3 linked regions of the Rhinolophus ferrumequinum genome follow. The protein of the gene in region 2 purifies or fractionates together with the protein of the main gene of each other region. This does not show direct contact. Links are inferred from orthologs where the notes say so. Each region holds a gene or a part of one and is shown on either strand. Other genes may lie near its edges.

What was found.
Region 1: the proteins of NFKBIB (region 2) and POLR1E purify together in Homo sapiens (affinity purification with mass spectrometry; 3 studies listed by BioGRID and IntAct, counting the BioPlex papers as one, with this or other methods). This does not show direct contact. The link is inferred for Rhinolophus ferrumequinum from reciprocal best matches to the Homo sapiens genes NFKBIB and POLR1E.
Region 3: the proteins of NFKBIB (region 2) and NFKB2 purify together in Homo sapiens (affinity purification with mass spectrometry; 4 studies listed by BioGRID and IntAct, counting the BioPlex papers as one, with this or other methods). This does not show direct contact. The link is inferred for Rhinolophus ferrumequinum from reciprocal best matches to the Homo sapiens genes NFKBIB and NFKB2.

Annotation. Positions count from the first base shown.
Region 1 is NC_046295.1:53,173,672-53,183,893, reverse strand, and holds the start of POLR1E (DNA-directed RNA polymerase I subunit RPA49), read right to left. Parts: upstream 4,346-10,222; 5' UTR 4,234-4,345; coding exon 4,158-4,233; intron 3,553-4,157; coding exon 3,449-3,552; intron 2,174-3,448; coding exon 2,097-2,173; intron 786-2,096; coding exon 700-785; intron 1-699. UniProt on the Homo sapiens protein: Component of RNA polymerase I (Pol I), a DNA-dependent RNA polymerase which synthesizes ribosomal RNA precursors using the four ribonucleoside triphosphates as substrates.
Region 2 is NC_046298.1:38,184,556-38,194,281, reverse strand, and holds the start of NFKBIB (NF-kappa-B inhibitor beta), read right to left. Parts: upstream 4,050-9,726; 5' UTR 3,961-4,049; coding exon 3,782-3,960; intron 1-3,781. Other genes in the region: SIRT2 (NAD-dependent protein deacetylase sirtuin-2), read left to right, coding at 4,296-4,421, 8,284-8,332, 8,586-8,699. UniProt on the Homo sapiens protein: Inhibits NF-kappa-B by complexing with and trapping it in the cytoplasm.
Region 3 is NC_046299.1:22,619,041-22,628,772, forward strand, and holds the start of NFKB2 (nuclear factor NF-kappa-B p100 subunit), read right to left. Parts: upstream 4,346-9,732; 5' UTR 4,225-4,345; intron 2,912-4,224; 5' UTR 2,844-2,911; coding exon 2,823-2,843; intron 2,542-2,822; coding exon 2,460-2,541; intron 2,344-2,459; coding exon 2,303-2,343; intron 2,043-2,302; coding exon 1,944-2,042; intron 1,865-1,943; coding exon 1,713-1,864; intron 1,451-1,712; coding exon 1,344-1,450; intron 1,256-1,343; coding exon 1,097-1,255; intron 797-1,096; coding exon 692-796; intron 564-691; coding exon 478-563; intron 397-477; coding exon 258-396; intron 18-257; coding exon 1-17. UniProt on the Homo sapiens protein: NF-kappa-B is a pleiotropic transcription factor present in almost all cell types and is the endpoint of a series of signal transduction events that are initiated by a vast array of stimuli related to many biological processes such as inflammation, immunity, differentiation, cell growth, tumorigenesis and apoptosis.

The DNA.
Region 1 (10,222 bases), on a different chromosome or scaffold from region 2:
GGAGTTAGAACTAATGCCTCTGAAGTTATAAGGCAGATTCACCATCATCTTTACTTACTTAACACCCTCCCCCACCATGGTTCTCAGTACTTCAGATTTAGGGAACAGGAGCCCCTGGAGTCTGACCCTCTTATCTATCATTTTGGAAGATCCCACTCTAGCAGAGAAGCAATGCAACTTCTCTGACTGGATTAGGGAAAAATAAGTGAATCTCTTCCCAAATTAGAAAGTGTAGAGACTTTGCATCAACATGAAAGCAACTGACCACCATATAAGTAACTTCCAGTACCTGCCAGAGATTCTAAAACCTCTACTTCCCAACTAGAACAGTTAGGAATTAAGAAAGGCCCTCAATGGAAAAAGAGTATCAGACATGCCCTCCAATATTCTGCTCTGATCATTGCTCAACTTGCTTTAATTAACATTAGTTTCTGATCTCAAGTCTGTAAACACCGTGAAGCAGGATCTGTGACTGTTTTGCTACATCCACAGCCCCTAATTTGTGCCTGGAGCATAGTAGGTCATCAATAAATATGTGTTGAGTAAAAACACTCTTAAGACTTGTTCAAATGAAAAAAAAACCTGGCAGAAAGACACCCTTTTAAAAATAATCACAAAAGTGTTTTTAGTTATCCAAATCCAAAACTCATCCTAAACCTAAAATATGCAGCATTTCTGTAAGCCTTGACTGGGACCTACCTGAAAACAGTGGCTGCATGTTGAACAATTCAGCATCATATACTTCCATTTGGCCAGAGGTCTTGTTCAAAATGCCCACAAAGTGTCTGAATAAAGAAAGAAAAATATCAATGATAATGGATTATTCCAAAGGTATTGTTTATACAACTTCCTTTTTCCTGCTTAAAAGTTCTCAACCTTCTTTCTGTCCCAATACACCTAAGGAACGCATCACTTGCTCTGGAGTAAGAATAATCCCCTAGAGCAGCAATTCTCTGCGTGGGGCTGGGGTGAGAGGGTTCATGATGTGTTTCTGAAAAAAGAAAGCGACAGGTGATTCTGGCAGGCGATCATATCTGGGCTCACTGCTATAGTGGGAAACCCTTCTGGGATGTCAGAATCTAGAATTACACTAGAACTTACTGCACACATACATTTTATGGAGGCAAAGACAAGTAAAGCTCTGGTAACTACGGGGAGATCAGTCTGAACTAGAAAATCTTTATATAAAGGGATGATGCAGAGCCAATAGTTTTAAGCACACACTCCTTAATCTGACTTCTATCAGGGGGGTCCAGTGGGGCTCTGCAAGGGCCTTGTTTGTGGTTCACTGTTGGATACCATCACAGGGACACTGTCTGCGTTATACCAGCCCCTGAAAGTTATAGACCATTCTGGCTGGGCAATCTTCATCGTACCCCAGGGGAGACCGGGGGTCAGTGAAGTTAAAATTGCCCAAAGTCAGACAGTCAATCAGAGGCAGAGCTGCATAGAAACCCTGGAGCCTTTGACACTACCAAATCCTTTCCTTGTAGTTACTCCTAAAGCAAACTTCTGGCAAGCTTTGGCCTACTGATCATACACTCCATATTAGTGAAGACAGTTGCCTTTTGGAAACAAGACAGTTAAAGCTAAGTCCTGGAAATGTAATGTGCTGTATGGTGACTATAGTTAACAATACTGTATTGTATATTTGAAAGTTGCTAAGAGAGAAAATCTTAAAAGTTCTCATTACAAGAAAAAAAAATGTGTAACTATGTGTGGTGATGGATGTTAACCTGATTTATTTTGGTGACCATTTCATTACACACATATCTATCTGATCATTATGTTGTACACCTGAAACTAATACAATGTTATATGTCCCAATTTAAAAAATTTTTTAAAGAATGTTACAAACGAATGAGGTTTTCTTCAGGAAATTCAACAAATGTAAGTCAACTTTCTTTTCAAGAATGTCTACAGGCTGCTGTGACGGCCCCTGCTTCTGGGAACACAGGGACTTGGTAAACCTCTCCAGATTTCCCCCACTTCCCCTAAAGTAAACATCCCCTAAAGTAGACACAGAACAGCAGTCAGTACCAGGGCTGCTACCACCACTCCCCTCCCCATCCAGCTGTCCCTTCCCCTGTCCCTACCTGCACAGAGTGTTGCATTTGAGGGCTCCAGTCCCAAAATTGTTTCCCACGTAGCAAAGTCTGTCTGTTTCAGCTGCCTAAAATGCACAGGGGGAAAAGCTCCATTGCAACCAATGTTGAAAGGTAGTAAGCATCTAATCTCCCTTTTCCACATTTGCAAAAAGCTTTAGAATTCAAACTACAGAAGATCAGAACTACAGAGCCTCTAGGAGACATCCAGCCTCACTATCTCTAAGTGAATCTGGGATGCCCCTGGGGGAAAGGCAAGAGGACTTTTGAAAGGGAAGCTGCAGATTGTGCAGGCTTCTAGCTGGTCTGAAAAGTTTTTGGGGAAGCTGCACCGCAGAACTTGGAAGACAGACCCTGGACTCTCCACACTTACAGGCATTAATAAACTGATTCTGCAGGCAACCTCCTGGGTTCACAGTCCATACCCTTCTTGAACCTCTTTGCCCACCTCTCTCATGACTGTTCCTTATATGCTCATAGGACCATGGAAATGGCTGATTCACTTCTCAACCACAGCCAAGCTTTACTGCTTCACAATGTTTGTCCTCACTATTCTCTTCACTTGGAATACTAAAACCTCAGCTGTCAAACCCTCCTCCATCCTTCCGAGCTCAGCTCCATGTGCCCTCCCAGGGAGACACTCTAGCAAGCAGAGATGTTGATGGAGCTCACTGTGCCTTGTACTCTCCCTCCCTCGGCCCTAAGCTTTGTCTGTTTGTATGAGTGTCCCTCACATCCAGCTCTCAACTCTCTAGAGTTCTCTGCACTGTACTTGCAATGTTTCTGTAAGTTTCTGTAAGCACTGAACTTGCAATGTTCTCTGTCTTTGAGATTGGGTAAAATCTCAAAGACCTTTCTAGAGCAGTAGTAGTTCTCAACCCAGGGAATTCCCACTCGTGGGGACATTTGGTAATATCTGACATTCAGGTTGTCACAACTAGGAGGTACTACTGGTATTTAGTGAGTGGAGGCTAGGGAAGCTGCTAAACATCCTGTGATGCACAGGGCTGCCCCCACAAGAAAGAATTATCTGGGTCAAAATGTCAATAGCAGCAAGGTTAAGAAACCCTGCTCTAGAATACGAGCTCCCGCAGAGTGTGGCCAGGTGGATGCTCAATAAATGCTGTTGAATGAACAAATGAATGAAAGGCTATCGCTTCACCCAAAGTATGGAACTGAATGGAGCCTGTCCCCACACCCCTACCTGCTGGAGCTCAGAAGAATTCTTCAAAGGCTCATTTGCGATTTCCCCCTTTTCTCCTCTCACTCCCTCCCACATCGACCCACACTCAAGGGGTCCTGAGGCCTGCAGAGTGGAGGCAACTGGCCACTGCAGCACTTACCAGGATCCGCTGGGTCCTCTTCCTGGGGTTTGTGGAGTCATTGTTCTTGTACAAGGTAAAGCGCATGTTGCCTGGATCCCGCAGCTTCCCATTGGAGAACTGGACTGTAAGATCACATTCCCAGACGGGATGAGATCAGAAGGACCCACAAGGTATGGTGGGAGGAACTGGACTGTCAGTGGGAGGGAGTGATTGGAAAAATGAACATGGCAAGTAAGCCCAGGTCCTGACTTGAAGTGGGACTGAAGAAGGTCCTGGTCCACTTGGGAAGAGAGGATGAGGAGGTGAGGGGGTCCTGGGGAGGGGCGGCGGCAGTAAGGAATAACTAGGGGGATGGGGCCAACTGAGGAGGCCTCATCCAGACCTAGAGAGCGATGGAATCCCTGCCCAGGGGAGAGAATGAAATGGAACAGGACTAAGACCTCGGGAGTGAGAGGATGACAGGATCCTGGGTACAGTCCTGGGGAGGAAGTGACAGGACGTCCTCAGCAGGGAGGGAGGTAGCGGCAGAAACGTGGTGGGATGACAAAGGAGCCCTGGCCGAGTTCCAAGTAGTGGTGGACAAAGGAGGGTGGTGGGGAGTGGCAGGGGCTCTTGGCGCGGCTGGGAAAGGGGTCCGGCGCGGGGGGGGGGGGGGGCGGGAGGGCTGTAAAGGTACAGAAACGGGAGCGGAAGTTATGAGGAACAGTTCCAGCTCCGCAGTCTTTACCCAGTACAGCTCTCTGGCTCTCGTCGGGCTCCCCACAGTACAGCCACTTCGCACTCGACAACACTTCCGCCGCCATCTCGTCTCTACGGCCGCCAAGCCCGGGAGTTAAGACAGTACGAGCCACCGGCGGGTCGCCACACACTCCGAGGTAGCACAGCGGGCCGGAACAGGCGTGGCCCACAAGACACCGCTCCTTCCGCGCTCCCGCCCCCAGCGCGGAGGCGCACCAATCCCCGCCTGCCTGTCGCCCCGCCTCTCCGCACAGAGGCGTGGTCTCTACACTGTGCCCCGCCTCATCCTTGGACGGCCTCTCGGAGGCGCTCCACCGGATTGGCTCAGCGCTCCGCCTGGGCAAGAAGGGTTGTGTGGGACAAGGGTCCGAAGTTCCTAAAAGTCGTGCTGCTTTTGCCTAACAGTCATGTGGGTTTTCTTCCTGCTCAGCACGATCTACGTAGAGTATGATCTATCTCCCCTATGGTGACAAATATATACTACCAGACCTGAAAGGCCAACTTCAAATTTAGAATTCTCTGAGAGGCACTCCTTGAGCCCCAGCTAAATGTGGCAGCTGGCAAGAGAGCAGTTGGTCTCTAGGGCCTCCATCCACACGTGGACATCCAGTCCTTAAATCCAAGTTTCGTCCACAACCATGCAAACAGCTTCTAGCCCTGATCATTCCTCAGGCCCAGGCGTGCATACACCTGTGGTCCAACCAACCCAGGGAGGATGGACCCTGGGAGAGGCTCAGCAGGCTCAAGAGCATTTGGACAGGGATTGATTCTCCGGTGGACTAGAAGGCGGGAAGTTGGATCTGATGGGTAAGTCCCATAGTCCCTGAAGATTCAACCCTCCACATGGGCAGCTATCAAAGCAGAAGGGCCGAAGCAGAATCCCTAAGGATAGACCCAGGAGGAGGCCCCTTTTGCCCTGTCAAAGGCAAGTACTGTTGCAGGGCAAGAACTCGGATTGACTCATCTCTGCTCTGCAATCTCCTTTAAGATTCATCTCCTCCAGACACACACCCAGGATATTTTGAATAACCCTAACACTGAGCTGCCCTTTGAGTACTTGTAATGCTTTTCCCAATCTCAAACTTACAGGAACATTGCAAGTACAGTGCAAAGAATTTGTTTTTGACCTGAACCTTTCAGAGTAAGTTGTCAACCTGATGACTCATCACCCCTGAAGACTATAGCATTTCCTTAGAAGGGGACATTCCCTAAATAACTACATACAGCCATCAAAATCAGGAAATTAATATTGATATGTGACTACCATATAATCATCATACTCCATTTAAGTTCACCAACTATCTTAATATTTTTATAGCAAAAAGATCCTGTCCAGACTCACATGTTGCATTTAGCTGTCATAGCTCTTTAGTCTCCTTCAACCTATTAATAGAACAGTTCCTTACTCTACTTTGACTTTCATAATTTGACAATTTAAAAGATTACAGGCTAGTTATTTTGTAGAATGTTGCTCAGTCTCGGTTTGTCTAATGTTTCCAAGTGATTAGTTTCAGGTTATGCATTGTTGGCAGGAATATCACAAACATGAGACTGTTCTAACTGTATCCTATCAGGTGGCACACAATTTCAATTTGTCCCATTACTGTTTATATTAACTTTGATCACTTAATTAAAGTGGTATCAATCAGGCTTTACTACTGTAATGTTATTCTTTCTCCTTTGTAATTAATAAGTATTTTGTATGCAGGTACTTAGAGACTAAGTAAATCGTATCCTGTTCATCATACTTCTGATTTATTCACTCATTAATTATATCAGTATGAATTTATGGGTTCCTACTTTATTCAGTAGATTAGAATATGCTACTATCATTTATTTTTATTTTTATGTTCAAACTTTCCCAGATTAGGCAGTGGGAACCCCATCAAGCTGGTTTCTGAATCATCACTAATCCTAGGAGCCTAGCATAGGGACTGGAACTCAAGATACTTAATAATATTGGTTAAAATGAACTTGCATTGTGTTTACACATGGTAGATTCTCTGTATGTGTTGACTGGTTGAATGAAATATGAACAGTTAGATCAAAGTTAAGGGGTGACAAAGAAGACAGGAGGGTCTACAAGGAGTCAATTGTAGTTCATGAGGGAAGTGTCCTGGCCCCTCCTGATAAAGGGACATATTGTATGACCTTGCTTCTCAAAGTGTGGTCCTCAGGCCAGCAGCATCACCTGGGAACTTGTTAGCAGTGCAGAATCTCCTGCCCTATCAAGTCATCTGAATCAGAATCTGCACTTTTAACAAGATCCCTAGGTGATTTCTGTGCACTTTATGCTTGGGAAGCACTCTTGTACAAGACTGTTTCCCTTTCAAGGTGCATCTTTACCAGTCAGACAAAGTCTGTTCAAGTCCTCAGAATTGGCTGTTTATAGCTGGGTGAAAGAGCCAAGAGTACCACATATGGAGTTAGAGCAAAGACTCCCAGAATTACCACAGGCAAGAATTCAAAGTGACAGAGATTCTATCTGGGGAAGGAAAGTGTTAATGACAGGATGGTTGAGACCGGGACTATGTTGTTTAGTTATTTCGCAATGATTCAAAACACATATACACCATATACATATAAATACACATATACATTAAGTGGGACAGGACAATATTTGGTCACTCAGTCAGTGACCAAAATACAAAAAGTTATAGTGACCTCTTCTAAATTCGAATCAGGGTAATCACGGGCAGAATTTACCATAAATGTTTGTTTGTAAATTTGGTTTGGAAATTCATCGACTTCTGGAGTTGTCTCTTAGCATCATTTTTCAGAAGAGGAAAACTTGATATATATTTTGAAAGTAAGGGATGAGGCAGAATCCTCCTTTCCTGGGGTAATATCTCCATCTGCTGGCATTTCAAGATATCGCTAATGAAGGCCTGAAAAGGCAGACAAGATCCCACAGTATGTTTGTAGCCACTCATTGTGTACTGTCAAAAATGTTTCTTCTTCTATTTCATCTTTTCTCTTCCTTTCTTCTGCCTCTGCCTCAATTTTTTATCCCTTTGTTTCTTTTTCTGTGTTTGTCTCACTCTTCTGTTCTCCATTCTGTTTTTCTCTTCCTTCATATTTCTGATGTAGATTCTGTTTGTACACCTATAGACATGGACGACTCATTTCTTATAAGGCAGACTTTTCACCTTGGCTAGGTTTTTCCTTACATGGAGCTGAAGCTGCCTTCTGTAGCTTCTACCTGTGGTGCCAGTTCTGCTTCTCTAGGGCCACACAGAACACGACCAACTCCTCTGCCCTGAGCCCTTCAAAAGCCTGACTACTCTGACCATACTTTCCACTGACCTGCTCCTTTGCTCCTCAGCAACTCTTTCCAGCCCCTCAGCTATTTCACACACCAGAGTTCCTAGGTCTGTCTTCATCTGGTCACCACTTTGGGACATACATTAGTACATCTGGATCTTTTTCAAACTGGAGCACCACATGGATCAATACTCCAACTCTGGGCTGGGTAACACAGAATAAAGAGGACCCATCTCCTCCCTTCTGCTATTTGCCATGCCTCTCTTAATGAAACCAATATGTGAATTTATTCTTAGCATCTACACTGTTCAGTTAAGTTGTTTAGGGTTGATAAACCAAAATTCTTGATTTTGCTTCTGCTAAGTCACATTATCCCTGCATTTTTTATTTTTTTTATTTTTTTAAGGAGGGCGCACACACTGGCCCATGCGGGCATTGAACCAGCAACCTTGGTGTTATTAGCACCACGCTCTAACCAATTGAGCTAACTGGTAACCCCATCCCTGATTTTTTTTAAAAAACAAAGATTCAGAGCTTTATGTGAGGCCTAAGTTTAATCGTGTTAGATTTAGCTTACTCAGATTTTTTTATTTTTCCCAACATTTTTTAGATTTACAATAATTATCAAAGCAATTTTGATGTCCAATATTGGGAAAAATACAGAAAAATATAAAGAATGCAATTATAGTAACCCATGATCCTTTCCCCACCTAGAGGCAAACATTGTTAACATTCTGTTTTATTCCTTTCTAGATTTGTCTCTCTGCATATCTGCATATGTTTATATAACTGATACATTATTGTATTCAATTGTGTATCCTCCTTTTAAAAATTTTTAAATAATCTTGTAAGCATTTTCTCAAATCACACGATAGTCCATTGAATGTTGCCACAGGGTTTATACATCCAATGCTTTAGTTGCTCACTTGGGCTATTCCCAATTTTCTCACTGTTACATGCAACATTACATGAACTTTTTAAGCATAAAAACTTTGTTTGGGTTTTTTTGGATAAATTCTTTGGTTGGGATCCTAGGATTTGAATTAATGAGTCAAAGAGCATGAACATTTTTTTTAAATCTTAATACACTGTCAAATTTGACTCCAAAAATTTTCAGATCTTTTAAGCGATCTGCCTTCTAACACTACCCAAGACAATTTGGAAGATATAAGAATAAAAATACACAATGCTTGGCCTCAGGAATTACTTGCTAGGAGGAACACAAAAATGGAAAAGAACACTCTTAAGGGTGGATACTGTTAAGTCTTTAGAAATTCTCAGTTCAGTCAGTTTCATTGCTTTATTTGTTTTGAATCTTTGTTACTAGGATTATACTCATTCAGGCTTATTATCTCTTCTTAATGAATTAACCCTTTTCTCATTAGAATTGTCCTTCCTTATCTCTCATAACATTCCTTGTCCAGAAGTCCACTTACCTGATCTTCAAATAGTTATTCTGGCTTTCTTATGATTGGTGTTTGCATGATACATCTTTTTCTATCTTTTTACTCTTAACCTATTTGTATTTTTATATTTAAAACAGGTTTCTATGGACAGCATGTTCCATGTTTTCTTCTTTTATAGTTTGGTTTCAAAAGGTTTTAATATTTCATTCATTTGATAATAAATTTGTTGTAAGAAGTTAGATAGATACCCAATATATTTTTTCCAAAATACTTCCCAGTTTCACAGGCTCAAAATTTAATCTATATTTCTTCCATTGCTTTGAAATGACAACTTTTTCATACATTAAATTCTCTTATATATTTAGGTCTATTGTGGACCCTCTGTTTTGATCCACTGAATTGTCTGTCTGTTCATATACCAGTACCAAGTTTTGGGGTTTTATTTATTGTGGCAAAATATACATAAAATTTACCATCTTAACAATTTTAAGTGTACAGTTCGGTAGTACTAAATACATTCATAATGTGAAACCATCACCACCATCCATCTCCATAGCTCTTTTCAAATGTGAAACTGAAACTCTATATCTATTAAATAATGACTCCAATTTCCATCTCACCCAAGCCTCTGGCAACCACCATTCTACTTTCTGTTTCTATAATTTTGACTACCCTAAGTACCTCACATTAGTGGAATCCTACTTAGCGGAATCATCAGTATTTGTCTTCTTTTAGCTGGCTTATTTCACTTAACATAATGTCCGCAAGTTTCACCCATATTATAGCATGTCACAGTTTCCTTCCTTTTAAAGGCTGAATAATATTCCATTGTATGTATATATCACATTTTGCTTATCCATTCATCTGTTGGTAGACATTTGGGTTGCTCCCACATTTTAGCTATTATGAATAATGCTAATATGAACATAGGTATACAAATATCTGTTTGAAATGCTGCTTTCAATTCTTTGGGTATATACCCAGAAATGGAATTGCTGAATCATATGGTAATTCCATTTTTAAAATTTTGAGGAACCGCCATACTATTTTCCATAGCAGCTGTACCATTTTACATTCCTACCAATAGGGCATAAGGAAGGGTTCCAGTTTCTCCACACCCTTACCATCACTTGTTTATTCTTTATGTTTTTGAAAGTAGCCACCTTAACAGGTGTGAGGAGATATCTCATTGTAGTTTTGATTTGTTTCCCTAATAATCAGAGATGTTTCATATGCTAATGGGCCATTTGTATATCCTCTTTGGGGAAATGCCTGTTCAAGTTCTTTGCTCATTTTGGAGCTACATTTGTTTTTTGGTTGAGTTTTAGTTCTCTAAATATTCTGGATATTAATCCCTTATCAGATATATGATTTGCAACTATTT
Region 2 (9,726 bases):
GATATCTTAAGCAGAAAGGACTAGAAATAAGGATGACAGCATATTTTGCCTAGGGAATAATGCAAAAAACTGCAATGGAGCAACATTGTAAACGTACTCAAAGCTAATGACTATCAAAGTTGAATGCTTTAACACAACATAAATAGCTTTCAAAAATGAAGACAAGGGCCAGCCAGGTGGCTCAGGTGGTTGGCGAGCCATGCTCCTAACGCCAAGGTTGTGTGCTGCCAGGAGCATGTGTGTCGCCAGCGTGAGGGGCTGGCAACCTGCGTGAGTGGCTGGTGGGAGCTGCTGTGAGGGTCGACCGATTACCTGCGACCGACCGCCTCAGCCGGGGGGAGCACAAGGCTCATATACCAGCATGGGTCAGGGAGCTGTGTCCTACACAACTAGACTGAGAAACAATGGCTTGAACCGGAGTGGGGGCGGGGAGGCAGAAAAAAGGGGGGTGGAAATGAAGACAAAATACAGACATTTTCAGATACACAAAACCTGAAAGAACTCATTACTAGCACCCACACCATAAGAAATGATAAAGGAAACCTGCAAGCAAAAGGAAAATGACATCACATGGGATTATGGAGCTATAAAAAGGATTAGAGAACACTGAAAGCAGTAACACTATAGGTAAAATAGGTAAATATATACATTTTTTTCTTGTTATGTTTCTTTAAAAGATATATTTTTAAATATAATTGACTGTTTAAACAAAAATAATAACAATGTATGGTGGCGTTTATAACACATGTAAGTAAAATGTATGGCCACAATAGCTTTGGCCAGGAGGGGACAAATGGAAATAGTAGTCTAAGGTTCTTTTACTCCATGCAAAGTGGCATAACATCACTCAAGGGTTAAAGCTCCACACTACAAATTCTTTTTTTTTTAATTTTTATTGCATAACAATGTGATTTTTCCAGGACCCATCAGCTCCAAATCAAGTTGTCCTTCAATCTAGTTGTGGAGGGTGCAGCTCAGCTCCAAGTCCAGTTGCAGTTTTCAATCTAGTTGCAGGGGGTGCAGCCCACCATCCCATGTGGGAATCGAACCGGCAACCTTGTTGTTAAGAGCTCGTACTCTAACCAACTGAACTAACCGGCTGCTCCCCACACTATAAATTCTAAAGCGGGGGTCAGCAAACATTTTCTGTAAAGGGCCAGATAAATATGTCAGGCTTTGTGGATCATGTGTTCTCTCTTTTATCTACTCAGTTCTGCTGTGGTGATGTGGAAGCAGCCACTGGCAACATGGAAACGAATGATTGGGGCTATATTCCAACAGAATTTTATTTATGGAGTCTGAAATTGGAATGTCATATAATTTTCACTGGCTACAAAATATTCTTCTTTTTTTTGTTTTCAACCATTTAAAAATGTGAGAACCATTCCTAACTCACAGCTACACAAAAGCAGGTAAGTGGCTGGATTTTGCCTCGAGACCAGAGTTTGCCATCCCTGTCTTGCAGAGAAACCACTAAAATAACAAAACATAAAGTTAAAGCTAACAAGCCAACAAAAGAAATATAATGGGACAACATGTACTTGTTCCAAAAGAAGGGAGAAAAAGAAAAGGGAAACAAAGAAGAGATAAGTAGAAAACCAGTAACAATATGATAAACTCAAACCTAACCATATCAATAATTAAATGCAAATTGTCTAAACACTCTAATTAAAAGGTAGAAATTGTCAGATTGACCAAATAAGTAAAACCCAACTATATGTGCCTACAAGAAACACTCTTTAAATATAAATATTAAAAAAGAGGTTAAAAATAAAAGGTGGAGTAAGCTATATCATATCATGTTAACACCAATCAGTCAAAAGAAAGCAGTAGGAAGTATTTTAATATCAAAGTAGATTTCAGAGCAAGTAATATTACCAGAGATAGAGAAGGCTGTTTCATAATGATAAAGAGGTCAATGAATCAAGAGGACAGAATAATTCTAAACATTTGTGCCCCTGATAATGGAGTGTCAAATAATATGCAGCAAAACCTGATAAAACTACAAGGAGGAATAGACAAATACATAATTCTTATTGGAGATTTCAATACCCGTCTCTAAATAATTGATAGAACGAGTAGACAGCAATCGTCAGCAAAGCTATAGGGGACTGGAACACTATAAATCAACATGACCTCTAATTGACAGCTAGAGAACACTACACCCAACAACATCAGAATATACATTCTTTTCAAGTGCACACACAATATTTTGGACCAGTAAACAACTCTTAATAAATGTAAAAACTTTCAAGTCATACAAAGTTATGTTCTAGGTCCACAATGGAATTAAATTAAAAATCAATCAAAGAAAAGTATCTGGGAAGTCTTCCAAATATCTGGAAACTAACATACTTCTAAAAAATCCACTGGCCAAAGAAGAAATCAGAAGAGAAAGTATAAAGTATGCTGAATTGAATGAAAATAAAAACACAACATGTCTGAATTTGTGAAACACCGCTAAAGCAATACGCGGGGAAATTTATAGCACACAACACCTATAATAGAAAAGAAGAAAGGTCTCAAATCAATGACCTCAGCTTCCACATTAAGACATTAGCAAAAGAAGAATTAAACCCAAAGTAAGCAGAAGAAAGAAAATAATGGAAGTCAGAACAGAGATCAATAAGAGAGAGAGAGAGAGAGAAAGAGAGAGAGAGAGAGAGACTTAGAGAATTAATGAAGCCAAGTGGGTTCTTTGAGATCAATGTTTATTGAGTGCCACCTATGGGTCAGGCACTGTTCAGTCACTGGGGATACAGCAGAAAACAACACACAAAAACCCCAGGTACAATCCCTCACTTGGGCCTTTCCAACATTGTTCTTTTACCCAGAGTGGTTTCCCCAGTAATCTGGTTGTCTCGTTTTCCTGCTTGATTTTTCTCCAAAGAACTTACTATCTTCTGGCCTACCTTTTCCTGTCTTTCTTTTTTCTTTTTCTGGTTTTCTTTGTTTCTTCCTGTCTTCCTTCTTATTTTGTGTCTTTTTCTTTACTTTCTTTTTATTCCTGCCTTTTCTTTGTTCTTTCTTTTTCTATTTTCTCCCCCTCTTTCCTGCCTTCTCTCTCCCTTTTTTCCTTCTTTTCTTTTTTCCCCTCCATCCCTGCCTTCCTTCCTTCCTCCTATCTTTCTGTCAGTCTTTCTGTCTATATACCCCTCTCCCCCAAATGTACACTCTACAGGGCATAAGGTGTAAATTTTTGTCTGTTCACCGTCTTATCACCAGCACCTGAAACAGGGCTTGGAATATGGTAGTGTTCCACAAATATTTGTTTAACAGATGAATCCCTGTTACCATGGAGCTTACATTTTCTCTTTGAATATGAGATGTAAAGATTAGTGCACAGAAGATGGGATCTTAAAGTCAAAGACCAAGTATTAATTTTGGAAATCAAGGTCTAACGCTCCTAAATCAGGAGCTAAGGATCAAAGACCATATTTGGAGAGGTTAAAGGTCAGAAGGAGATTGCTTGAGCTACAGTTCTAATAAAGGTCTCAGAACTGGGGTCAGGAAAACCAAATAGAGTTTTGGGATCAATGGATAGGAATGTGGAACTCTGAGATCCAGAGTTCAAGAAAGGAGGTCAGAAATTATTGCGTTGGGATCAAAATTGGATAGTAGATTGGTGTTTTTAAAGGTTAGGACCTGTGGGTTACATACAGATCAATAAGTCAAGCATCAGAAGTCAGATTTAGGAGAGGTTGGGAAGCCGAGATAGAGACTAATAGGAAATCAGATGTCGTATCCTAGAGCCCGGTTTGGCAGCCTAAGTTTCACTCACGTGTCCCCATCCTCAGTGACGTAGCCGAAGACTAGGGGTGCCCACGACAGCCCCGGGCCCAGCTCCGGACCCAGTCCTGGTCCTCCCGGGGCCGCTGCGTCGGGACCCAGAGAGCCCAAACCGCTGTCGCACCATTCGTCGGCATCCGCAGCTTTCCCCAAGCACGCGACCCCGGCCATGGCCCCCGAAGCCTCAGGGGCCCCCGCGGCCGCCCGCCTGTCTCTGGGCTCTCCCTGGAGCACTGGCGCTTCCGCCCTGCGGGGAATTCCCCAACACTCCCCCCTGGCTCATCCAATCAGAGTGGGCTAAATAGCTCTAGCCCCGCCCCATACCACACCGTGACCAATCAGAGTATTCAGATGTACTCTCTCGACCCGTTCTCATATTTTCCGGGCGCCCTTTACCAACATGGCTGCCGGCGCTGGGCATTTCGGGACTCGTAGTCCGGCTCGCCTGTAGCTTTACCTAAGAGGGGCGCGCGCCGAGGTTGTGAGAAAGCGTGTATGCGTCCTCGATGACTTCTGGGAGTTGTAGTTCTCTACCCTATCTCTGCTCCTCCTGTTTCCGGTGCCGTCACGGGACCGAGCAGTCGGTGACAGCCCCGAGGGCCCCCGCCCCGCGCCCATGGCCGAGCCGGACCGTGAGTCGGGGGCTTCGGTGGGAGGGTCGGGCCTAGCCGGGGCCTGGCTGAGGGCTGCAGGCCCCGGGACCCGAGGGCGGGCGTGGTGGGCAGGAAATTGGGGCTGCCTGGGGAGGAGTGGGGTTCGGGGGGCCGTTCCTAAGTGATCCATATTGCTAGGTTTGTGGGTTTCTGGGTCTCGAGGTTTTAAGGGTTCGTTTGCCATGTCTCCCAAGTTACTAACGATCGCATGTTTCTCGCACCTGGGTTGCCAAAGACCCTCGTTGCTAAGGACTTAGGTTGCCGCGGTCCCGGTTGCTAAGGGTACCCGATTGTTAGGGGGTACTGTAGAATGCTAGGGGACCCCTGGTGTCCCTTCCTATCTCTTCCCTCTAGTTCCTGTGCCTCTCTTAAACATACCATCCCCAGCGCACCTCGTCTCCCACATCCACCTCCAGTCGGAGTATCTCTTCTCTCTTTCTTTCTAAACTTATCTCTGCTTGTAAACCTAACCCTCCCTGCAAACACGCTCACATACTATTACTATGTCCTTCCTAACTCCTCCTAAGGTTTCCTCTATACCATATATCCTTTACTTTCTCCTTCCTCTCCTAATCCTTCCTGTCCCAGCTCCTTTGCCCCTCACTAACCACCTCTCTTCCCGGCACTCTCCACTCTGCTTTTCCCCATCCCCTTCTTCCTTTTACTCCATTTTTACCATTACCCTCTACCGCAGTATAACTAGGTTGGTGGGTCTTCTTGCCCGGCCCCAACCCCTGCTTTGAAGCCCTTCGTAACCCCTTAACGATTCCCTCCACTATAACCACATGTGCTCCCCCTCCTCCCCCAGCCTCTGACCCTCTGGAGACCCAGGCAGGGAAGGTGCAGGAGGCTCAGGTGAGATGAGGGAAGGGTGGAGGGAAGGAGAGAGATGCACTTGTTCCCACATCCCACTCCCCTGGGGGGAGGGGACAGAGGGGAGAGTTACCCCAGGGCCCTCAGCTCACTACCCCAACCCCTTGCCCCACCTCCCAGTTCAGCCTCCTGAGGAATTGTGGATTCAGGGGACTGTCAGAGAAGGGGGTGCAGCCTCAGCCCCAGGCCTGCCCTCCTGAACTTTCCTCTTTCCTTGCCCGCCCTCTCCCTTCTGAACCTTATTTATGCTGGTCCTGGAGGAGTCAGACATCCAATTTAGTCCCTGAACTCACAGATCTCATGGACAAGTGACTAGAAAATGACCCTATGGGGTGATTGTGTAGGTAGCTCAGGGCACTGTGGGAGCCCAGAGATTCCCGCCAGTCCCTCCCCTGGAGGAATCTACAGGCTGGTCTAGGGGTCAGATTGAAGTAGAGACACATCGTAGTATGTGCAGAGCAACTTCGAATTTTCTTAGGCAAAGTGAGAAATGGTGTCCCATGCAGAGGGTACAGCTCGTGCAAAGACCTGGGAGCATGGAAGAATGTGATGTGTGCAGTAGGCACTGGCTGGGGTGGTCAGCTAATTATATGCATGGTTAGCATTTATTGAGTACTTAACTTCAGCCGGGTACTCTGCTTGGTACTTTATGGGCATCATCTCATTTCATCTTCCCAGCATCCCTGTGGGGGTCAAGTCCTATTGTGGTCATTTTATCGATGAGGAATTTGAGGCAGAGTTCTTAAGTATCCTGTCCTCTGTCCCTTGGCTAGAAGAGCAGAGAAAGGCTTACAACTCACAGCACCCAGCACACTGCTTTCCAGATGCTTCGGAGAGGGGTAGACAGGCTGCCAGACAGAGGCCTGAAGGCCCTGCCAGTACCTCCAGCTCCCGCTTAGGCCGAGTTGCTCCCGTGTGTTGGGCAGGGCCCTTGAGTCTATCCACAGAGCCTCACTGTCTGTGGCCTGAAAGAATGCCAGCCCCCCACAGCCGCGAGATCGCAGTTCAGATGTAGGCAGTGCAGAAGCTGTGGTTAAAGCACCTCACAGATAGATTCACAGCAGAGGGTATAAGAGCTTCCTTTCAGGCCAGGGCTTCTCCCTTGCCTGGCTCCCAAAGCAGGACCACTGTCAGAGAAAAGGTTTAATGTTAAAAAGGATCCTCAGTCCCAACGAGAGAGACTTGAGGATGTAAATTGCAGCATTGTCCATATGGGGCAAAACTGGAAACCGCCCAAGTGGCTGTCCATAGATGGGTGAAATGAACTATGGGGCCTCCTTACAATGCACCACTAAGCAGCTGCTTAAAAGAATGAGGTGGGTCTATAATATCTTGTTCTGCAGAAGATGCACGGTGCTGCATTGTGCTATGGTATGACCCCTTTCTGGAAAAATACTGAGTTTTACATGCAGAGAAACAATCTGAAGTAATTACCATTGTACTGTTAATAGTGGTTATCTCAACGGGGTACTGGCAGTGGGAATTATGAGGCAGGTGCCCCAAGTTGTACATTGTCTAATAGTCAGACATTTTACAAAGCTTATACAATCTAAAGAGCGATAAAAAATTTTCAATGTTTGGGAGGGAGGTTCCGATTCAAAAAGACTTGGAACCAGATAGTGTGTGATGAGGGAGAGGAGCTGTTGGAGGAGTTTTAAGCAGGAGAGTGAGTGGGTGAGAATTGCGTTTACACGGGATCCATTGCAGGGCCCAGCCCTAGCCTAGTGTACAGCAGGTATCCATTCATTCAGTGGTGGATACTTCTGGAGCTCCTGCCAGGTGTCAGACCCTATTCTTGGTGCTGGACATTCAGTGGCGAACACGAAAAACACCTGCATTCGTGGAGCTGACCTCATGGTGGACCCTGTAGATGTCCGTGATCATGTGATTAGATTGGAGACACCAAAGAGAAGGGCCTGGACCGTGGAGGGGAGTGGGCCGTCCCAGACAGGCCATCATGCGGAGGGTCATGGAGTAGATTGCAGGTGGAGACTAAGGCTGGCAGCCTAGGGAGGAGGCTGGGACAAGGGCCTCTGTGGGGAGAGGACAGACTGGACCAGGTAGAGCCCTGGGGAGGGGACAAATATGGTGGGAGGGCAGGGGAAGGAGGTGGGAGGCCACACTGGATGGGGCCCAGGTGGAGGAGCAAGCTTGGGGGAGATGCTGAGGCCAGGTTGGGACATAGTGGGAGTGAGGGGCCTGAAACCCCTTAGGGGAAAGCCTCCAGGAGGCCATGGGAACCCTGCATCAGGGGACAGAGAGGTGGCATCATCACTGACATGGATGAGGCAGCTCGCCCAGGGAAGGTGGAGAGACAAAGCAGGGAGAGCCCTAGACAGAGTTCCAAGACCTGCAATTTGGGAGCCTGGCCAATGCGCAGAGCTGATAAAGGAGATGGAGAGGTTGCAAAGGCTATCTGGGGCTTCCAGACGCAGGGTGAGGACCGAGGTGTTTTCACCGGCATTATTCCATGATTATGAAGTGCCTTTGGTGAGGAGGGCTGCGGGGTGCTGCGAAGGGGCAGCAGCCTACACTACAGGGGACAAGGAGAGATACAGGGGGAGGATAGGGACGTGGCATATGAAATAGCAACAGCTAACGCTTCCTGAGCTCTTACCCCGCGGGGTGCTGTCCTGAGCACCTCACACAGTAACTCATTTCATCTCACAACAGTCTCCTGAGGGGAACCCTCTGAGCTCCATCTCCAAGAGGAGGCGCCCCGGAGACTCAGAAAAATGAAATCACTCGCATGAGATTATGCTCCTTGGGAGTGACAGGCCAGGTCCCCTGCACAGGCAGCCTGTCCCAGAGCCCCCACACTGCCCCCCAGAGCTGTTCCTCCATTGCCCTGCACTTCCTCAGGCCCACCTCCCAGCCAGGGCCTTTTTCCCAAACTGGGTTGTCACCCCACCCCCTACTCCCTAACCTCACTTCTTGGGCCTGGCCACCCCACCTCCACCCCTTCCAGGACTCAGATTCAGACACTGAGGGAGGAGCAGCTGGCGGAGAAGCGGAGAGTGAGTATCTTCCTTGGGAGGCCGGTTCTGGTGGGGGGCCGTGTAGGGCAGGGGTCTGGGTGACATGCCTCACCTCATTCAAGGTATGTAATAATGGTTCTGTGCCAGCACCTAGAAGCCCCTGGCTGGGCTAGGCATGGAGCCTTGAGTTGTGGGAAGGCAGAGGATCCCTGGGCTGGGGCAGGGGCACTCAGGGCCTCTGTGCACCCCGGCTGACACCCACTCAGCCGCCCCCTCTCTTCTTTTTGGCCAGTGGACTTCCTGCGGAATTTGTTCTCCCAGACGCTGGGCCTGGGCACCCAGAAGGAGCGTCTGTTGGACGACCTCTCCCTGGAAGGGGTGGCCCGCTACATGCTGAGCGAGCGCTGTAAGTCCCCCACCTGCCTTGGGCCACTTACCCCCCTCCTGGCCCCAAGTGATTTCTCAGCTCCAGCCACTTGAACCATTCACGCCTTTTTTCTGCAAGTAACAAGAAACCCAGCTCAAACTGACTTAAGCCAGAAAAAAGGAATGTGTTGACCCCCTAACTGAAATCCAGCTTTCAGCATGGCTGGGTCCAGGGGCTTCCATGTTATCAAAAATCTTAACCCTCTCTGGCTGCTTTCCTGCGTGTTGGGGTAAAGGTAGCTCCTGGCAGCTCCAAATGCCAGTCCCGCCAGCCTAGCAGCTCCCACTGAAGAGAGCGTCTTTGTCCCACTGCTTCAAGCAAAAGAGCGCAGATTGGCTCCAGTCGGCCCAGGGTTGCTCACATTCTTACCAGGAACCAATCACTGTGTCTCTGGTTGGCCCAACCTCGGTCACATCTCCATTGCTGACTCACGCTGTGGTCTCATTGGCCAGGCCTGTTTGATACAATGAAGGTGATAATAATAAATGTTTACCTCATAGAGTTATTAGGGGTTAAAAAAAAATTACTAGAGATGTAAATGCCTGGGACGGGACCGGAAACAGAGCAAGAGCTGTGTAAGTGCTGCCTGTGCTTATTATTACAGGAAGCTTCTTTCAGATGTGGTGTGTAGGTGCCTCTTTACTGGGTCACCGTGTAATTTATATTTCTTGCTGAGAGTTGAGGTCAGCTGTCTGCGAAACCAAGCCCTCAGCAGTCCTCTACTAGAACAATCGACCCTTTGAGGGTCCTGAGCAGCCCTTTGTTGAGGACGTCTTCTCCACTTTCCGTGTCCTGCAGCTGCTGCCAGCTCCTCCTCAGCCAGCCGGGCCCACCGCCCTGCGCCTCCTTCTCCTGGGCAGGCCTGGCAGCTGTCTCTAGCCCACTTCTGGCTCGGGTGGGCCCCAGAGAACGCAGGCAGTGGCTACAAAGCTTTTGTTCCTTCTGTCCTCCTGCACCTGGATTTTAGGATAATTGGCTCCTGCGGGTGCCTATGAGGGGATAATGA
Region 3 (9,732 bases), on a different chromosome or scaffold from region 2:
CTGCACCTCCTCCTTGTCTGGGGGCAGAGGGAAATGAGACGTTAGAATCCCAACTCATGGGCCAATCCTTAAGATCCTTGTCCCAAGGTTGGTAATGGCCCTTTCTCCCAAAGCCCTCAGGCTGGCTCCTAGGACCACTTCTTCCTGAGACCCTCCCCACTCCTAACTTGACTCACAGGTCCCCTGATCTAATTCTTGGGTCCCTCGCACCCAGCTCCCACACTCCAGCCACCCTAGGATCTTCAGCCCAGCTCCACCTTCCACCAGCGGGTAATAGGTGAACTGTTTGGAATCAGAGACATCCCCTCCACGCTTGCGTTTCAGTTGCAGGAAAACGGTTACAGGACGCTCGATCTTCATCTTGTGATAGGGTGGCGTCCTGAACACAATGGCATACTGGGGCAGAAGGAAGATGTAAGGTGTCACCGAGGCCTTGGCCTAGATGGGCCCCCAGGCCTGGCCCCAGCTCTAAGGTACCTGTTTATGAACATCTGTGGGAGAGAAGTCCCCAAAGGCCTGCCATCCATTCTCATCATCCTCATAGAACCGAACCTCAATGTCATCTACAGGGAAAATTGAAACGTGGCCACAGCTCCTAGTGGAATCTCCAGGGCCATTTGTCCTGAAGTTTCCCTGGCCCTCAATCTTTACACTCAGTGTCCCTAGCTCCCAGCTTGGGCTCCAGCCTCACCTTTCTGCACCTTGTCACAAAGTAGATAAACCTCGTCTCCACCCCGCACAGAGCCGGCTGTCTTGTCCATTCGGGAAATCTTCAGGTTCGAGGCCCCAGGAGACTCTATGGGGGAGAGATATCAATTATTTGAGATGATGTAGGAGTCAAGGCCCTATTTGTGGAACCAGGTGCTTTGTGTCATTATCTGAACAGCACCACGAGATACAGGAACCTCTAGTATCTTCATTTACCCAAGACGGAAGCCATGCTCAAGAGACGGGAAATGACTTGCTCAAGATCACAGAGCTCATACATGGTGGGGCAAAGTTCAAACTCAGGCCTTTTTGACTCCACAGCTTGAGGTTGCCTCCCATGCTCTTTCTGACACCCAGGCCTTGCCTTCCAGGTAGTCAGGATACTCACTGCTGTCGTGGATGGGCTGGGAGATAACAGGTTTCAGGGGCAGGGAGAAGGAGCCATCACTGGCTCGAAGGAAGGCAGAAAAGCGCAGTCGCACAATGCTCAGATCCATCACCTTCTTCAGCTCCTTGGCCTCCTGCTCCAGCTCCCGACGTTCAGCCTCTGGGTGGTGACACACGTGACCCTTGGACACCTCCTCCTCTATTCCTTCCAAGAACACCTCCCATGGCCCCCTTCCTCCCCGCCATACCGGTAAGGCCCTGAGGCCTGGAGCGGAGTCGCTGCCTCTGAAGTTTTTGTATCATGATCTCCATCATGTTCTTCTTGGTCACATGCAGGACACCCAGGTTGTTAAATCTGGGTGAGGGAGGGGGAGTCAGGGATCTTGCAGACAGTTCTTTCTTCCTGAGGCACCCCCCCCACCCCACTGCCCAGGCTCAGCACAGCCCTACTTCCTCTAGGAAGCTTTTCTGGTTTTTACTTGGAGCCTTGGGTTCTAGGGCCAACCTAAGTCTTTCCCCTTGGTCAGACGCTAAGTTCAGAGAGGTGGGCTGGGGCCTAGGACTGGCAGGCAATGAGGGGGCATACCACTGGGGGGGCCGGGGTGGGGGACACCTACTGGGCAGTCATGTCCTTGGGCCCCACAGACACGGCGCAGACCCCCAGTTCCGAGCACTGCTTGCCCACCAGGCTGTGGGCGTGAGCACGAGGTGGGTCACTGTGCGTTACCAGGTCCACCTCGATCTTGGCTGGTCCCTCGTAGTTACAGATCTAGGAGGGGTGAGGGCTGTCAGTAATGCCCCTGGACACACTGTCCACTAGCCCACCCTCAAGCACCACCCTTGCTCACCTTGACAGTGGGATACGTTTTCCGGCCCTTCTCACTAGAGGCACCTGGCAGTCCTCCATGGGAGGGGCCTTCACAGCCATATCGAAATCGGAAGCCTCGCTGAAGATTCCAGGGCAGAGTGACATTGTGACCAGGAGGCCCCCCCCCCCAGCCAGCCATACCCCCTGCCAGCAGTGACCATAATGACTGGTAGTGCCTGTCCTGAACCACAACCACACTACTGATTCAGCAGCGGACAACCATCCCAACGCAACGTGGCTTCTGTGGTCAGTGACCCTCCCCAGGGCCACCCAGCTACAACTACCCCATCTGCCCTCAAAGCTGAAGCCATCCCACACCATCCCTTCCACCTCACTCACCTGCTTAGGCTGTTCCACAATCACCAGGTATGGTCCATCAGCTGGGGACAGAGGGGCCTTGCTGATCCCGGCTCTCTGACCCATCCCCAAGGCAGAGGGCACATACTCCTCCCTCCCCCTCCCTCTAAGACCAGGGGAGGTCAGAGGACTTATCAACCTGTGTCTAGGGCTGGCTCCTTGGGCTCCACAATGGATGGGTTGAATTTGAAATCATCGTATTCAATGATGCCATCCAGATCCTGGTTTGGAGACAGAATGGGATGGCAGCTGATTCGGAGCCACCCCCAGAGTCCTCCACCTCCCAGCTCTCTAAGCCCTCAGTAATCACCCCCTCTCCTCCCCAGGTCCATAAGAGAGGTCCCATTGGAAGCAGTTTTGCAGACAGACCAACAGGCAGGCTGAGATAAAGTGAAGGTACTACAGGTGTAGGGGAGCAGAGGGGACTCCGACAGACCCGCAGACAACCAGACAAACACAGGGGGTCAGCCAGCCGGGTTTGGGGCCAGGCGGAGTGACTCACTGGGTCGTAGCAACTCTCCATGTCTCTGGGCTAGGCCCGACTGTGTGGCGACTCCGGCCGGGTTCTCTTTCCCAGTTTCAGTCGCCCGCCTTGGGTCGGGGTTGGGGGGTGGGGGGAAGTGGCAGGGGGGCGGGAAAGACAGATCAGGACCGGAGTAGAGAGGAGAGGGGGGCCCAGATTTGGAGGAGGGTCGGATCTCCTCCAGCCACCCGTCCGGGTGTGGCGGACGAGATCCGGTGGAGCGCGAGATCGGGAGCTGGGCTGGGCCGGGCCGGGGAAGGGGCAGGAAAGTTAGAACAGCTTAGGAAAGTCCCGAAAATACCAGGGGGGAGGCGGGGCCGGAGGGGGCGGGCCTGGAAATGACGCCACTGGCCACGCCCCCGCGGCGGGAGGGGCGCCAGGTTGGCGGCGCTGGCCTGTGGACACTCGCAGCTTGTCTGTGGGCAGAGGGGCAACCAGACCTAGCGAAGCCCCCGTGAGGGTTGGGCCCCTCTCCTCACTGCAGAGCAGGGGTCGGGGACCGGAAGGTCTTTCACGGCTGGGAGAGGCTCCAAGCCCCGGGCCAGTCCTACCTCCCGCCCCTTTCACCTCCCCCATCCTGGAGTAACCTTGGGATTTTCTACCCTGAGGGAGGCCACGGCTGATTCACCCCGGGGGCTTTTGGGGGGACATTCCTGCTGTAGGAAGGCCGCCTCCCCGAAGGCCTGTAGGCGGGGGCTCTTCCCAGCGAGGGGCCCAGGGGTTCTGCCCCGAGAACCAGTCTCTTGGGCCGCGGAGCTAGGGGAGGAAAGGTGTCTCCTCCTTGGGATGGGTTCCTCTGTTCCCTCTCCTCGAAACACCTCGATAGCCGTTGACTCCCACGCCACATGAGTTTTGGGTGCCCACGCCCCTGCCCCAGTCCCAAAGCCGTTTGTAATACTTGTGTGTCTCCATCACAGGTATACAAGTGTGAGTCAGCTCATGTGCTTGCGTGCGTGTTGTGTGTGCATGGCGTCAACATGCGTGTGCAGCTGAGCATGTCTGTGTACAGGTGAGTGTCCTTAAAAGTCTCAGTGTGTACACATGTCTGAGCATATCTTGATATGTAGAGGCGCAGGTGAGCATATATTTGAGTTTGTGCGTGAAGGGTATGGGTCCAGGCTCACCTGTGCACGGGTGAGCGTGTTTGCGTGTGCATTTGTGTGCGAGTTTGAGTGATGGACTGTACACTCGCCGGCTTACGTACAAGTCCGCGTGTTTTGTACAAGGATGTCGATGTGTATCCGGGTGTCTTGTTCGTGTGCGTGCTCTCTGTGTGTGTGCATATGCTTTCTCCAGCTCTGAGTCTCCCTCAGTTTAGGACACACTCCTCCCGCCCTTCCCAGAGTCCTGGCCACCCAGGGGTCTGAACCCGGCCACTCACCGCGGCGGCGGCTCCGGTTCCGGCTTAGCTCCCGGCCCGACCCACCTGGGACGGGTCGCGACACCTCTCCAGCCACCAGCGCTCTAGTGGGGAAAGCCCCTTTACCGCCCCCGGGAGGGGGGAATTCCCGTGACGTTGCCGTGCGTCACGCCCCATGCCCTTTTTCATTGGCTGAAAGTTTAACTCCCGACGCGCACAACCAATCCGGAGCGACTCAGGCGCTCCCCTTAGGGGGCAAATATTCGCGCAGCGCGGGGAATCGGGAGTGGGTATGACGGTCAGCCAGGCGTGGGCTCTGGTGGGGGGACCAGTCCCAGGCGGGATCCGCTGAGCGAGCACCATCCCCCTGTCGACGCCCCGACTCCAGTCTCCTCACCCACTCAGGCCTGCCTCAGACGGCTGGCAGCCCCGCTGCTACTCGGCTTACGCTGCGCCTAACGCTTGGCCACCTCTGGAATTGGGGAACCCCAGGGGGAAGCTGACCGACCGGCCCAAGTCCTCCTGTCCCCCGCCCGGAGCGGGGCCCCGTTGCCGGGAAGTTAGGGGAAGAGGAAGGAAACTGATCTTTCAGTCGGTCCCAGGGTGCCATCTGGCGGCCCCCCTTTGGAGCCGCAAGGAGACCGCGTAATCCTTTTACTCAGTCTCTAACTCTTTGTCCCCTGGAAAAGACCATCTGGACCTAAACTTATTCTATCAACGGCAGGTTTACTGAGGGCCAGATTTTAAGACCTAAGCTCAGGAGCTCCGTGCTGGGAGGGAAATAAGGTGTTTATCTGAGAGACTCAGGCTGTGCTCATCCATCACGGAGATTTGGAATGTTAAGAGTTAAAAAGACATCCACAATCTTAATAGTTCAAACTTCCTCTGATGTAGGAAATTGCCTTTTATATAGTTCCCAAAGTATGCCTCACACTTCTAGTGGCAGCAAGGTCACTTTCACAAAGTACTGACTCCCAGGCCGGACATCTCTGGTTGGTAGAATTTCTCTTTAGAAGGTGCCATGAGTAATCTCCATTCCTGGAGTCCTACATTGGGCTCACAGTGGAACACAGACTGTTTGTTGTTTCGGATCTTTCCTGCAACTGCCTCCTGACCTTCTAAATAATGGACTTACAGGCCTGCACTAGCTATGCATAAAGGGAGACTATTATGGCCCTTGATTTGGGCTATTTCCTATTACTTCCCCTTCCTCTTCATCTTGCCCACAAATGGAATGTGCCAGGTACTATGTTAAGGTACTTCAGTGTAAGTTCTTGTTCTTCCTCCCAACAACCCTAGAAGGTAAATATTACCTTTCTTTACTGATGAAGTAATTAAGTCTCAGAGAGGTGAAGTAACACCTCTAGCTAGAAAGGGACAGAGTGAGAATTCAAACCCAGTCTGTTAGCTCTGGGATGAAGCTTTCCCCAGAAATTCATATAAAATAAAGCAGGCCTTTCCACCCAACTGTGGGCCTTTCAAGTGATTATCATAAGATACCATCAAACAATTTGCTAAAATCCAGGGATACTGTCTACGACATTCCCCTGGTAAATCAGTTCCTTAACCCTTAAATTAAAATGGAAGGTTAAATTTTAAAATGGGCAGAGGACCTGCATAGACGTTTCTCCAGAGAACATACGAGTACAAATGGCCAACAGACATGAAAAGATGCTCAAAGTCACTAATCATCAGAGAAATGCAATTTAAAACCACAATGAGCTATCACCTCACACCTGTCAGAATGGCCATCATCAATAAATCCACCAACAAATGTTGGTGAGGATGTGGAGAAAAGGGAACCCTCGTACACTGTTAGTGGGATTGCAAATTGGTGCAGCCATTGTGGGAAACAGAGAGGAGGTTCCTTAAAAAATTAAAAATAGAATTACTTCATGACCCAGCAATTCTACTTCTGGGTATTTATCTGATGAAATCCAAAACACTAATTTGAAAAGATACATGCACACCTATGTTCACTGCAGTGCTATTTATAATAGCTAAAATATGGAAGCAACCTAATTCCCCTCGATAGAGGATTGGGTAAAGATGTGGTATATATATGTATAATGGAATATTACTCGCCATAAAAAATGAAATATTACCATTTGTGATAACATGGATGGATCTAGAGGGTATTATGCTTAGTGAAATAGACAGAGAAAGACAAATACCATATGATCTCACTTATATGTGGAATCTAAAGAACAGAATAAATAATAAAACAAAACAGAGACAGACTCATAGATACAGAGAACTGATGGTTGCCAGATGGGAGAGGGGTGGGGGGACTAGGTAAAAAAGGTGAAGGGATTAAGAAGTACAAATTGGTAGTTACATAATAGTCATGGGGATGTAAAGTACAGCATAGGGAATAGAGTCAATAATATTGTAATAACTGTGTATGGTGTCAGATGGGTACTAGACTAATCAGGGGGATCACTTTGTAAATTATATAAATGTCTAACCACTATGCTGTACGTATGAAACTAATATAATGTTGAATGTAGAATGTAATTGAAAAAATAAATAAAATGGGAGCTTAGTTTGGAATATTCTAACTTAGTGAACCTGTGCTGATCACCGTTGATCACGACTGTCCCTTTAAAATGCTCATAAACCACCAGCTCAAATTGGCATGAATTTTTCTAGTTTCCACGTTTCTAAAAGCACCCCTAAGGTTTAGCTATTTTAGTTATAAGATTCTGAACTATAATTCATTTATCTGAAGATTTTAAAAAAGCCTTTATTATAGAAAATTTCAGACATATAAAGAATGGAGAGAAGAGTATAATAAACCCCCATGTACCCATCAATCAACTCCAACAATTCTTGATGTTGACCTGGAAATTTTGACTGACTCAAAGTTTATAGTCAGTTTCTATAGCCTCATCTATCTGGGCTTAGAAAACCCATTGTTTGTTCACTAATTTCCAACCGAATGATTATCTGTTTCTGTACCTAAGGCTAGCACTGCACCTGGCCCAAAGCAGACACACCATAAATTCACTGTCTTCATTCACCAATGAATAGTGAGGGCCTACTCTAGAAATCAGTGTCTTTGTTTGCAGATAAAAGTCAAATGAATGTATGTCAGTTGGTGATCAGTATGATGGAGAAAAAGTGGGCAAGGGGAGGGTGATCAGTATGATGGAGAAAAAGTGGGCAAGGGGAGGGGGTCAAGAGTGACAAGGGTTTCATACGTAGCAGACAGGGCAGGCTTTTCTGATAACATTTGAACAGTGACGTGAAAAAAGTTGAGGGAATGAGTTGTGTGAATATCTGGGGGAAGAGCATTCCCGGTGAAGGGACTAGCAGTGTAAAGATCTGATACGAATGTGTTTGGCATATTTGAAGAAAAGCAAGGTTAGGTAAGTGGGATAAAGTAAGAACTTTGCATTTTATTCTGAATGAGATGGAAAGCCACTTGAGCAATGGAGTGAAAATGATATGACGTTTTAAAAAGGCCCATTTTGGCTGCTGTGTGGACAGCACACAGATCATGGGACTAGAATATAAGAGGGAGATCGGTAGACCAGTAGTGGCTTAGACTTGGGTGGTAGTAGGTGAGGATGGTGGGACGTAGTATTCACATTCTGCATAAATTTGAAAGATAAAAGCAACACTACTTGCTGAGGAATTGGATGTAGGATGTGAGAAAAGAGGGGGTTGAGTTGTCCTTTAGTGACATGGGGCAGACTGGGAGAAGAGCAGATTCCTAGCGGGGGTAATCAAGAATTTTTCCTTTGAAGTTTGTTATGTTTGAGAGCCTATGAGGCATGCAAGTGGAGATGATGTGGGTGGTTGGACATAAAGTCAGTGCAATGGATGGTATTTAAAGTCTTGACTGTGGATGTTACCCAGCAATTGAGTAGAGAGAAAGGACTTGAGGACAAGAGCTGGGCCCTGAGGCGTGCTCATGTTCAGAGGCTGTGGAGATGAGGAAGAGAAAACAAAAGAAATTGAAAAGGCATGGCCAGTATCTCAGAAACCAGTGAAGAGTATTTCAAGGAGGGGGTGATAAACTGTTTACCTGAACTAAAGTTCCTTCTCAACTGAAGCCCAGGAACTGAGGGGGGGTTCTGCTTCCTCAAGGCCATTTGTCTCCTAAGTGGTGAGCCCTAAGCAAAGGTATATACTGAGAGCTGGAATAGCCACATTTTTCTGTTGTTCCTAGCAATGCTGTCCATTGTAGCTAATTCTGTACAGTTGACCTCTGAACAATGCAGGGGTTTAGAGGCACTGATGCCCCCCCAGTCAAAAATCCACGTACAACTTTCAACTCCCCCAAAACTTACCTAGTAATTAATTCTTCCCAATATCATTGTTTTATGTGCTTAGAAAATTCACATTTATTCTTGGTTGTGTATATCTCTTTCCAGTTTTCTAATGAATTCTTAGCTTACTAGGTAATAGCCTGTTTTTCAGATGGTCAACCTTTTATTTCTCATGAGAAGCTACAGAAAAGATATGTACAGACAGTCCCTGACTTACAACAGTTCAATTTAAGATTTTTCAACTTTACGGTGATGTGAAAGTGATACGCCTTCAGTAGAAATTGTGCTTTGAATTTTGATCTTTTCCCAGGCTAGCGATACGCTTGCTGTATGATACTCTCTTGTGATTCTGGGCAGCAGCAAGCTGTAGCCCCCGTCAGACACTCAATCATAAGGGTAAACAACCAGCACTCTACATTGTATTCATTGTGTTAGATGATTTTGTCCAACTATAAGCTAATGTAAGTGTTCTGAGTACATTTAAGGTAGGCTAGGCTAAACTATGATGTTTGGTAGGCTAGGTGTATTAAATGCATTTTCGATTCATGATATTTTCAACTTATGATGGGTTTATTGGAACATATCCCCATTTTGAGTCAAGGGGCATTTGTAGCTTTTCTTTTTTTTCCTTCTTCCACCCCCCCCCAGTTAATGGCAATGTGTCTTTTACTGTAGTAATTTAAACATTCACCATATTGTTTGATCATACCTTGTATATGTCAGCTGATCTTTCTGTAACAGAATGAGACTTCCCACAGGTTTTCTTTGCTACCGGCAGGGAGATCAGTTAGCAATCACTCCAGCTTCATTCATCTAATATTTGCAGACCAACACAGACTTGCCATATTCCTTTTTTCATAGGATGGTTTTCGGACTTCTTTGCAGCAGCCAACATTCTCTCCCCCACAGGGAAACACATAGAAGCTTCTAAAGCAGAGCTTGTGGGGCAGAGCTCTGTTCAGATGGTGGAACAGAGACATCATAGCTGTCATCAAGGCCTTAGTGTCTACCTGAGTGTAGATCCAGGCTTTTCTGCACTCATACAGAAAAGTGCAGATTAGAAGTGTAGTCAGAGTCCTAAGTTTCCCAGGGTCAGGGTCACGAGTCTTCTGGTTAGGGTAGAAACTAGGCATGGTCTGGACTACTCGGGGAAGAAGGAAGGGAAGAGGTTAAACTAGTGTGGGAGTTGCAGGCTTCATGTCAGTACTTTTCCACATCAGGCTGTTCTCATTTCCGAGGAGCCCTTTCATAC